2 linked regions of the Cricetulus griseus genome follow. The protein of the gene in region 1 interacts with the protein of each later gene in a biochemical or structural test. Links are inferred from orthologs where the notes say so. Each region holds a gene or a part of one and is shown on either strand. Other genes may lie near its edges.

Evidence for each region. The genes of interacting proteins can lie anywhere in the genome.
Region 2: the proteins of Gnaz (region 1) and Rgs20 form a complex in vitro, tested with the Homo sapiens proteins (2 studies listed by BioGRID, with this or other methods). The link is inferred for Cricetulus griseus from reciprocal best matches to the Homo sapiens genes GNAZ and RGS20.

Annotation. Positions count from the first base shown.
Region 1 is NW_023276806.1:263,551,303-263,555,338, reverse strand, and holds the start of Gnaz (guanine nucleotide-binding protein G(z) subunit alpha), read left to right. Parts: upstream 1-1,236; coding exon 1,237-1,959; intron 1,960-4,036. UniProt on the Homo sapiens protein: Guanine nucleotide-binding proteins (G proteins) are involved as modulators or transducers in various transmembrane signaling systems.
Region 2 is NC_048595.1:158,268,641-158,272,688, reverse strand, and holds the start of Rgs20 (regulator of G-protein signaling 20), read left to right. Parts: upstream 1-1,248; coding exon 1,249-1,408; coding exon of another isoform or gene 1,409-1,416; intron 1,417-4,048. UniProt on the Homo sapiens protein: Inhibits signal transduction by increasing the GTPase activity of G protein alpha subunits thereby driving them into their inactive GDP-bound form.

The DNA.
Region 1 (4,036 bases):
TTTTCTGAGAATACCCCCATCCCCTCCTGCCTCTCTAGACAGATTATCACCATATTACCCTGATTTGCAGGCCTTGGCCATGCTTCGAAACCTGTGCCTCGCTATTGCTTACTCAGGACCCTATGGTACTCCCGTCTGCTAAGTCCCCCTGGAAGGGACTGGGCGGGGAGTGGGGGGGGGGAGGGGACAGAGCTCTGTCCTGACAGACTATACACACTCTGTGCATCTGGCCCTACAACAAAGATGGCCCTGTGTCCAAAGGGATGAAAGTTGGGAAGACACCCAGTTTTCCCTGGCTTCCTTCAGGCAGGGACACCGCCAGGACTACACTGTAAAGCAGAGTGGGGCTGAGTTCCCTCCATGTCCTGGAGTGGTGGGCACCCACGGCGGGGGTCATACCGACGAGCTCCAGTCAGACATACAGACTCAGAGGGCACAAGGTCAGCCAGGTCCACTAGGCAAGAAGGAGTGGCAGAAGAGAATCCAGCATGGGGGCAGCAGACAAGAGCTTTGCACAGCTCCCTCCTGCCCATCCTGCACCTGGCGTCAAGCAGATCGGCCAAGTGGAAGGCATTGGCCACGCATATTTGTTTTGCTGTGGGTTGGGCACTGACCCTGAAGTGTTTGACAAACTGTTCTGCTGTTTGCTGAGGCCCTGTGGCTGATCCCTTTCCCCGTCCAGCCTGAGGTGGGCCCAGGAGGTAGCTCATGCTGTTCTCTTTCTCGTTAGGTGAAGGGCCGGATGCGAGGCAGGGAGCCGGAGCAGCCTGAGGCAGGGGGGCCTCGGGAAGCGCTGGGCCCTCCAGCCGTGCTTAGAAGCATCGCCACAGCAACCAGCAACCAGACAGCAGTGGCCTGGGCAGACACTGCCTAGGCAGACGCAAGCGGACAGCTACTACGGGGAATGACTACGGCAAATCAGGCCACACCGCTGACAAGGGAGGTGGAGTGTCACTAGAGGGGAGGGTGTGGTCTCTGCCCCACTGCACTGAGCACCATGCCCACAGGAGAAGAGGTGCTAGGGCAGGGATTGCAGTGTGACGCTGCTGCCTGGGCCTTGCCCCCAAGCCAGTGCTGAGCACGCCCCAGTCAGCTGTCTTCTCTCGGCTGCCTGTGTCACGCCAGCCCACACCTCAGCATCCCTCACGGTGACCGTTCTGTCTGTTGGCAAAAGGGGGAGAGGCACCCATCCTGTGCTCTGTTTCGGGGAGGGGGTGGGCCTCCTGCTGCCGGACCATGGGATGTCGGCAAAGCTCAGAGGAGAAAGAGGCAGCACGGCGGTCCCGAAGAATTGACCGCCACCTGCGCTCAGAAAGCCAGCGGCAGCGCCGCGAGATCAAACTTCTCCTGCTGGGCACCAGCAACTCGGGCAAGAGCACCATCGTCAAGCAGATGAAGATCATCCACAGTGGCGGTTTTAACCTGGATGCCTGCAAGGAGTACAAGCCCCTCATCATCTACAACGCCATCGACTCGCTGACCCGCATCATTCGGGCCCTCGCGGCCCTTAAGATCGATTTCCACAACCCGGACCGCGCCTATGATGCCGTGCAGCTCTTTGCGCTGACGGGCCCAGCAGAGAGCAAGGGTGAGATTACACCCGAGCTGCTGGGCGTCATGAGACGACTGTGGGCCGACCCTGGGGCTCAGGCCTGCTTTGGCCGCTCGAGTGAGTACCACCTGGAGGACAATGCAGCCTACTACCTGAATGACCTGGAGCGCATCGCCGCACCTGACTACATCCCCACGGTGGAGGACATCCTACGCTCCCGGGACATGACCACGGGCATTGTGGAAAACAAGTTCACCTTCAAGGAGCTTACCTTCAAGATGGTGGACGTGGGCGGGCAGAGGTCAGAGCGCAAAAAATGGATCCACTGCTTTGAAGGCGTCACGGCCATCATCTTCTGTGTGGAGCTCAGTGGCTATGACCTGAAGCTCTATGAGGATAACCAGACGGTGAGTAGAGCCTAGGTTCCTACTGTTGGTTCCGGGGAAGCAGGTGGACTCGTGTGAGCAAAGAGAGGCTTCGGTCAGAACTGGTCCTCAGGGCGAGCGTGCCCCCACGTTCTGTGCCCAGGGGAGTGTGCTGTGGAGCACGGTGAGTGTACTGATGCCACAAGGCCTCAATGGGCACTTCTGTCAAGTTGTGAACCCCAGTGGACAGGATCATGCCGGTGCCCCATGAGACCTCAGCTTCCCATGACTCCTCCAGTCTGAGGGACATCACTTTGACTTAGATGACACTTAACAAGTAACACCACACCCCTAGGCTCCACAGGGCTCACACCAGGCAGGGCCCCCACCTTTATCGGCTCTGACTGCCCTCCCCCAAGCTAGAGATGGAACTTTGGAACTTCCCTTGTAGTGCTTGGCTCCGCTGTCCAGGTTTCCAGGTCACCCTAGTCTCGGTTCAGTGACTAGATTGTGCCCATGCCTTGCACAGAGGACATGGAAGGCTTTGAGGCCTGGACGGGCGTCACTGGTAACCAACGTGCTCAGATCCAACTGAGGCAGAAGGTTAGATGCCCAAGTTGCAGACACCCTCCCCAGGAATAGCAGTAGTGGAAGCCTGCTTGTCAGACGGATGGTAGCTCTGGACTGTCTTCCTCAGTATACCTATTGTACCAGGCAGGAACACTAGACAAAAACCCAGGACCTCCCTTTACAGCTCAGGCCCCGGGAACTGGAGAGCAAAAGTCCTCTAAGAATCTGAGCAGGATTGTGGATGCCTAGATCTGTAGTAACCTAGAGGAAGGTATTGATGCCAGTGGGGAACCTGTGGAAATGTCACCTCCATCATGCTATGGAGACAAGGATCCAGCCTTTCCACTTTGGAGCACTGGTCTCTAGGGCCAATGACAAGGATGGGGCTTCTTTCTTCATCTGGTCTTGTTGAGGCAAGCAATGACTATTCTTTGAGTTCCCCCAAGGACTCTAACTTTGGGCCTGTGCCCCCCCCCAAGGTATGTGTGGAAGGCTGAAGGCTCTGACCACATCTCTGGATGTCTGAGTATTCTGGACATAGAGAGAGCCTGTAGCCTGGTCAGCAACCATGAAGACAGGAGGCAGGGCTCTCTTCACCATCCCTCCAGCATCCGGGTATCCTGGGATCTGTGCCAGATATTGATACTATTCCCAATGAGTGAGGTGATAAGCTTGTAGATGTAGGTGGCCCTGTTGCCACCTGTTGTCTACTTCGTGCCCAGGCTGTGTCTGTCTATGAGTGAGCCATCTTCAGGGTTCTTGCCCATCCAACTTTGTCGGCTGTTCCCACTCTAGCAACACGTGTGGTTCTAACTAGAAGTGGCATCCTATCAGAGAGAGGCATGACCTGAGGCCAGAGTTTGGGGTTGACCCAGATGTCAACGCAAAGCACAGTGCCTGGGGTTGGTTGTGGGAACAGAATGTTGGAAGGTTGGCCGGCCATCACGGCTCTCTATAATTCTCTACACTCCTGTATTGTGAGATTGATGTCGAGCTGTAAGGTTAAGATACCTTTATTCAGATAAGCACCAGCCAAACGCAAGCCAGAGTGTGCCCAGAGGCAGCAAGCTAGGGAGGCCAGAGAGAGGGACTCCCACGTGTCTGCCACCCCCTTAAGAACTCCCCACGAGTCATCCTGAACCTCCCCTGACCACGCCCTGGCAGGCGTAGTCAAGCACACCTGTACCTAGCTCCTAGGAGGCAAGGCTACAATGTCTCCCTACACTCCTGCTGGCAAGAAACTGCTCGAACAGGCCTTTCGAGCCTGGATCTGATGGGCCTCATCTACCATCTCCAGTGGAAGCCTGGCAGATTCCCCCAGGACCAAGCTCCCAATCCCATCTCTTACAGACTGTGCCCATAAGTGTACCTGGATCCATAGGCAGGATGCTTGGTTCCCAAGTTTCATGACCACCTCTTCCTTCAGAATCTGTCATCAAAAAGTAGCCCCAAGCTTTCCCGGCTCTGCCTGGCCTTTACCCACCACTGTATTGCCGCCCTTCTCTGCTTGTGCTGTCTGTGGCTTCTTCTGCTTGCAATGCCTCTCTGT
Region 2 (4,048 bases), on another chromosome or scaffold:
AGTTCTCGGAGCTTACAGATCCGAGGTTTTCCTGTTCCGAAAAAAAGGAAAGTTCTATTGTGTGTGTTACACAAAGAACATCAAAGACTTTTCATAATTTCTCATGGTGTCTATAAAATCCATTAATAAAAACAAAATGATGCCACCTACTCAAATTAACCTTTAGTGAACAGAGAGAAGAAAGTACTTGAATGCCAACAAGCTAACTGCTTATGTACATTTCACTATCAATAAAAGACTAAAAGGCACTATGGTCTGTAATCCCAAAAGACATGCGTCATGAACAAACACAAAACGCATGTATATTTGCTGGGCATTGGTGGCACATGCCTTTAATCCCAGCACTCTGGAGGCAGAGGAAGGTGGATCTCTGTGAGTTTGAGGCTACCCTGTTCCCCAGATCAAGTTCCAGGACAGCCATGGGCTCTGTAGCCATGGTTTTAATCAACTATAGGCTGAAAATGTTCCTGAAAATGTATGGCTTGGGGCTAGAGAGATGGCTTAATAGTTAAGAGTGTTTGCTGCTCTTCCAGAGGATGCAAGTGCAATGCCCAGCACACACATCCAATGGCTCACAACCACCAATACCTCCCACTCTGGGAGGATCAGATGTCTATGGCCACAATGGGTACAAACAGAGGTGCACACCCACATGCAAACAAACATACACACTCATAATTAAAAACAGTAAATTTAAAAAAAAAAAACTTTTTCTACTTTCTATACTTGAGCCACTTGCAGATGTATCCAAGTTTCACTTTATGGCATGTCTCTGTATTGAGGTTCCTCCCTGTACCAACACAATCACTGAGCAGCAGCAGCATTGATTTCATGGAGGCTTTAGTTTCAGAAAGGCACAAAGGCATGAGGCAAAAATCAGAAGAGTACCGTGAGCAGATGGGGGGCCTCCTCACAGGTCCCTTCAGATGGCATTTACAACACATTCCCTTGCCTTTTGTTCAGCCCAGTGGCTTATAAAGAAAACTTACTTACTCACCTATAGAGGGCAGTAGTGACATATGCACCCGGTGAGCAGTTCTACCTGGAATAAAAAGCTAAGATAAGTGGATAAGCCACTACTGATCCACAGGACGGATCAGCCTTTTGCTTTGCTTAGTGTAACTCTGCAGGAAGCAACCCAGCATATTCAGACATGGCCCAGCATTAGCAAACAGAAGAACAGAGGGGATCCACTAGTGTTGGTAAAACCAGATGACAAGATCCACATGCAGCATTTACTGGGAAAATATGCCCAGCCTTTCCCAAGAAAACCAAGAGTACCTCCAGGAGCATCTTCCCAGGCAGGCTACATGGGCACAGTTGCTGCCTCTGTTCAGAGCAGAGGAAGATTATAATCTCAGTATTCATCAAGTCACAGAAAATAAAGGGGACTCTCAGGCTGGGACTGGTGTCAAGGTAAGATGACCTTCACAATCCCCACCAATGTTGGCAGGGAAAAGGTTAATCCATAAAGAATATAAAACCAGCAGCCAGTTTCAGTATCGTTCTTCACAGTAGATTAGTGAAGATTTATCAAGACTATTTTTGAAACAATCTACAGGAAACCTAAAACTTGAAAATCATCTGGTGTCCAGTTTTCTCCATCCCAAACAGCTTTCCTTCGCCCTTGCTTTTTCGTTAAGTTTGTTCTGTTTAATGGTTTTGTGTGTTTATGCTTGAGACTGAAGCCATGGCCTCGGGCATGCCAAGCAGGGGCTCAACCACTGAGACACATAGCTGCAGCTTTGGCTGTTGGTTTGCTTTTAGGAAATAGTGTTTAAAAGCAGAAAGCCTATATTTAGCTTGTAAAGCTATTGCTATTAGCTCTTGCATATTTTTCTCTGACGTAAATACAATATGCCAGATAATTGTGAAAGAAAAATATAGGTTTCTTTCTAAAAACATTGCTACAGAATAATGATAAATTTCTATAGGGATCTGAATGCTAAAGAACTAAGAGTTGCTGTTTTTTAAATTCCTAAAGTGAATTTCCTGAAGTGTGAGTTTCTGCCATTTGGCCATTTTACTTTCTAGAGTGATAGTTCTCCTATTCAGTGTTGGATGTTTCTCTGCATAATGTACAGTGTAAGACTGCAAATCCTCTTAACTATTTATAGAGGTATCTCTTAAGGGTTACCCGTATGGAGAGGAATGGGCATGTGTCAATGTTGAAGAAATAATTGACAGAGCTCAGGAATAAATGGTACAAAACCAGGCCACAGAAAACCTGTCCAAATACGTGAGGTAGCACTGGAAAACTCAGTAGCTGTCTGTCAGTCATGGTTTATATCCTGATCATTATGTGTCAAGCTCTGCACTTAATTCTCTAGATCTTTCCCCTGATGTTATTTTAACTAGTTAGCACAAACAGAAGAAAGATGAAAAGAAAAGAAAAATAAATGTATTGTGAGCCTTTTTCTGTAGAAATAATTTTACTTTTCTGATGCAGGTGAGAGGTATAAATTTCTGCCACTCCTATCATCATCATCATCATCATCATTGTCAACTAAGCACAAGGGTTTATTTGACTAGCTGGTCATCATCTAACTAGAATATAGAGATAAGTCATGAAGTCAAATAGCAACTGAAGATGACAGATAAATAATACATAGAAAGACTTCCACCAGCATCAACTACAGACAACAGCAAATTAAAACCACAGTGGGACAAAAAAAAATACTATATACCTAGCAGAATGGCTAAAATGAAAAAACACAGCTATACAATATTAATAGACAAAAATCACAATTTTAAATGTGTGCTAATATCAGATGCCACCATCAATGACAAATAATTAGGTGCTGAAATAAATATGGCTTATGGAGTTTTATATAACTAATATTCTAAAATATGTAATTGCCAATATCAGTATGTCTCAGTATTCCCAAGTCTTTGGAACTTATTACAGATTTATTCTTTTTATTAGAGTGAAGATTAAAGTGTAGTCTCAAAACAAAAAAAAATTAGTAGACAAAAAAGAATGCCTGAAAAGCCACAAGGAATCAGACTATTAACTATTTACAAAAGCAAACAAAAATCTCACCAAAACCTATAATGCAGAGAATTCAGTGTATATCTGCATATATAGTTATAATAAAATTGTCTTATCTGGGATGATGGTACTCCCTCCAACAGCCAAAGACCATCTAACAAAAACCCCAATATTAGACATAAGAAGTCCTCTTTTAAGTTGTTGGCCAGAAATGTCTAAGAGACTCCCAAAACACACAGCTTATTGTTGTTGCCCTTGGTTGCCACTACCCCCCAGTGGAGGAAGGTAAGGCCCTATTTCTGAAGACACCATGCAATTCAGAAACAGGGACCAGAGACTCCTGAGCTGGAAGTGATCTGAATGCCCCCTCCCTAAGGACTACTTTTCATGGTACCAAAGGAGGGAACCAACAACAGTCCTACCCAGCTATGCCACCTATGAACCATATCAATAACTAGCATATCACAATAACCCTATAGGTGAAGTAATGATACACATACCTTGGTAGTAACCAACAACTCTATAATTGTACTTAAGACCCACTCGACAAGAAGGATACCATGCCTAGTACTGAAATCTAGCCAACTGCTCAGTGCAAGTGAAGTCATGGATGTTGGAGGAGAATCTACAACTACTAACTTACTAAACCAGCATAAACCCTAACAGCAATCTATAAACCTTTGTCCTTAAACACCCACAGGTAAGTGTAGTTTTCACTCGCCATCAGGGAAACTACTCTTTGCACTAGCTGGAGACTAGTTCAGAAAAGCACAACCAATCAAAGTGCAGAGTTGTGGATCCCAGTCCCAGTAATACAGCTACAATACACTCCTGCACCTAAGGCTCATGGAACATTGTGGAAGAAGGGGCAGAAAGATTGTAAGAGCCAGAAGACCAAGGAATTCATTGTGAGATTATGTCTCTTAGTAATATTAGAAGGTACATCCATAAAATCTCACCAACATCTGAGCTGAACAAGGTTGATACCAACTTACATGCTAAACTGGACAGAGAAAAGCCCATAATACTTCAACCCTAAGTAAAGAACTATAGGCA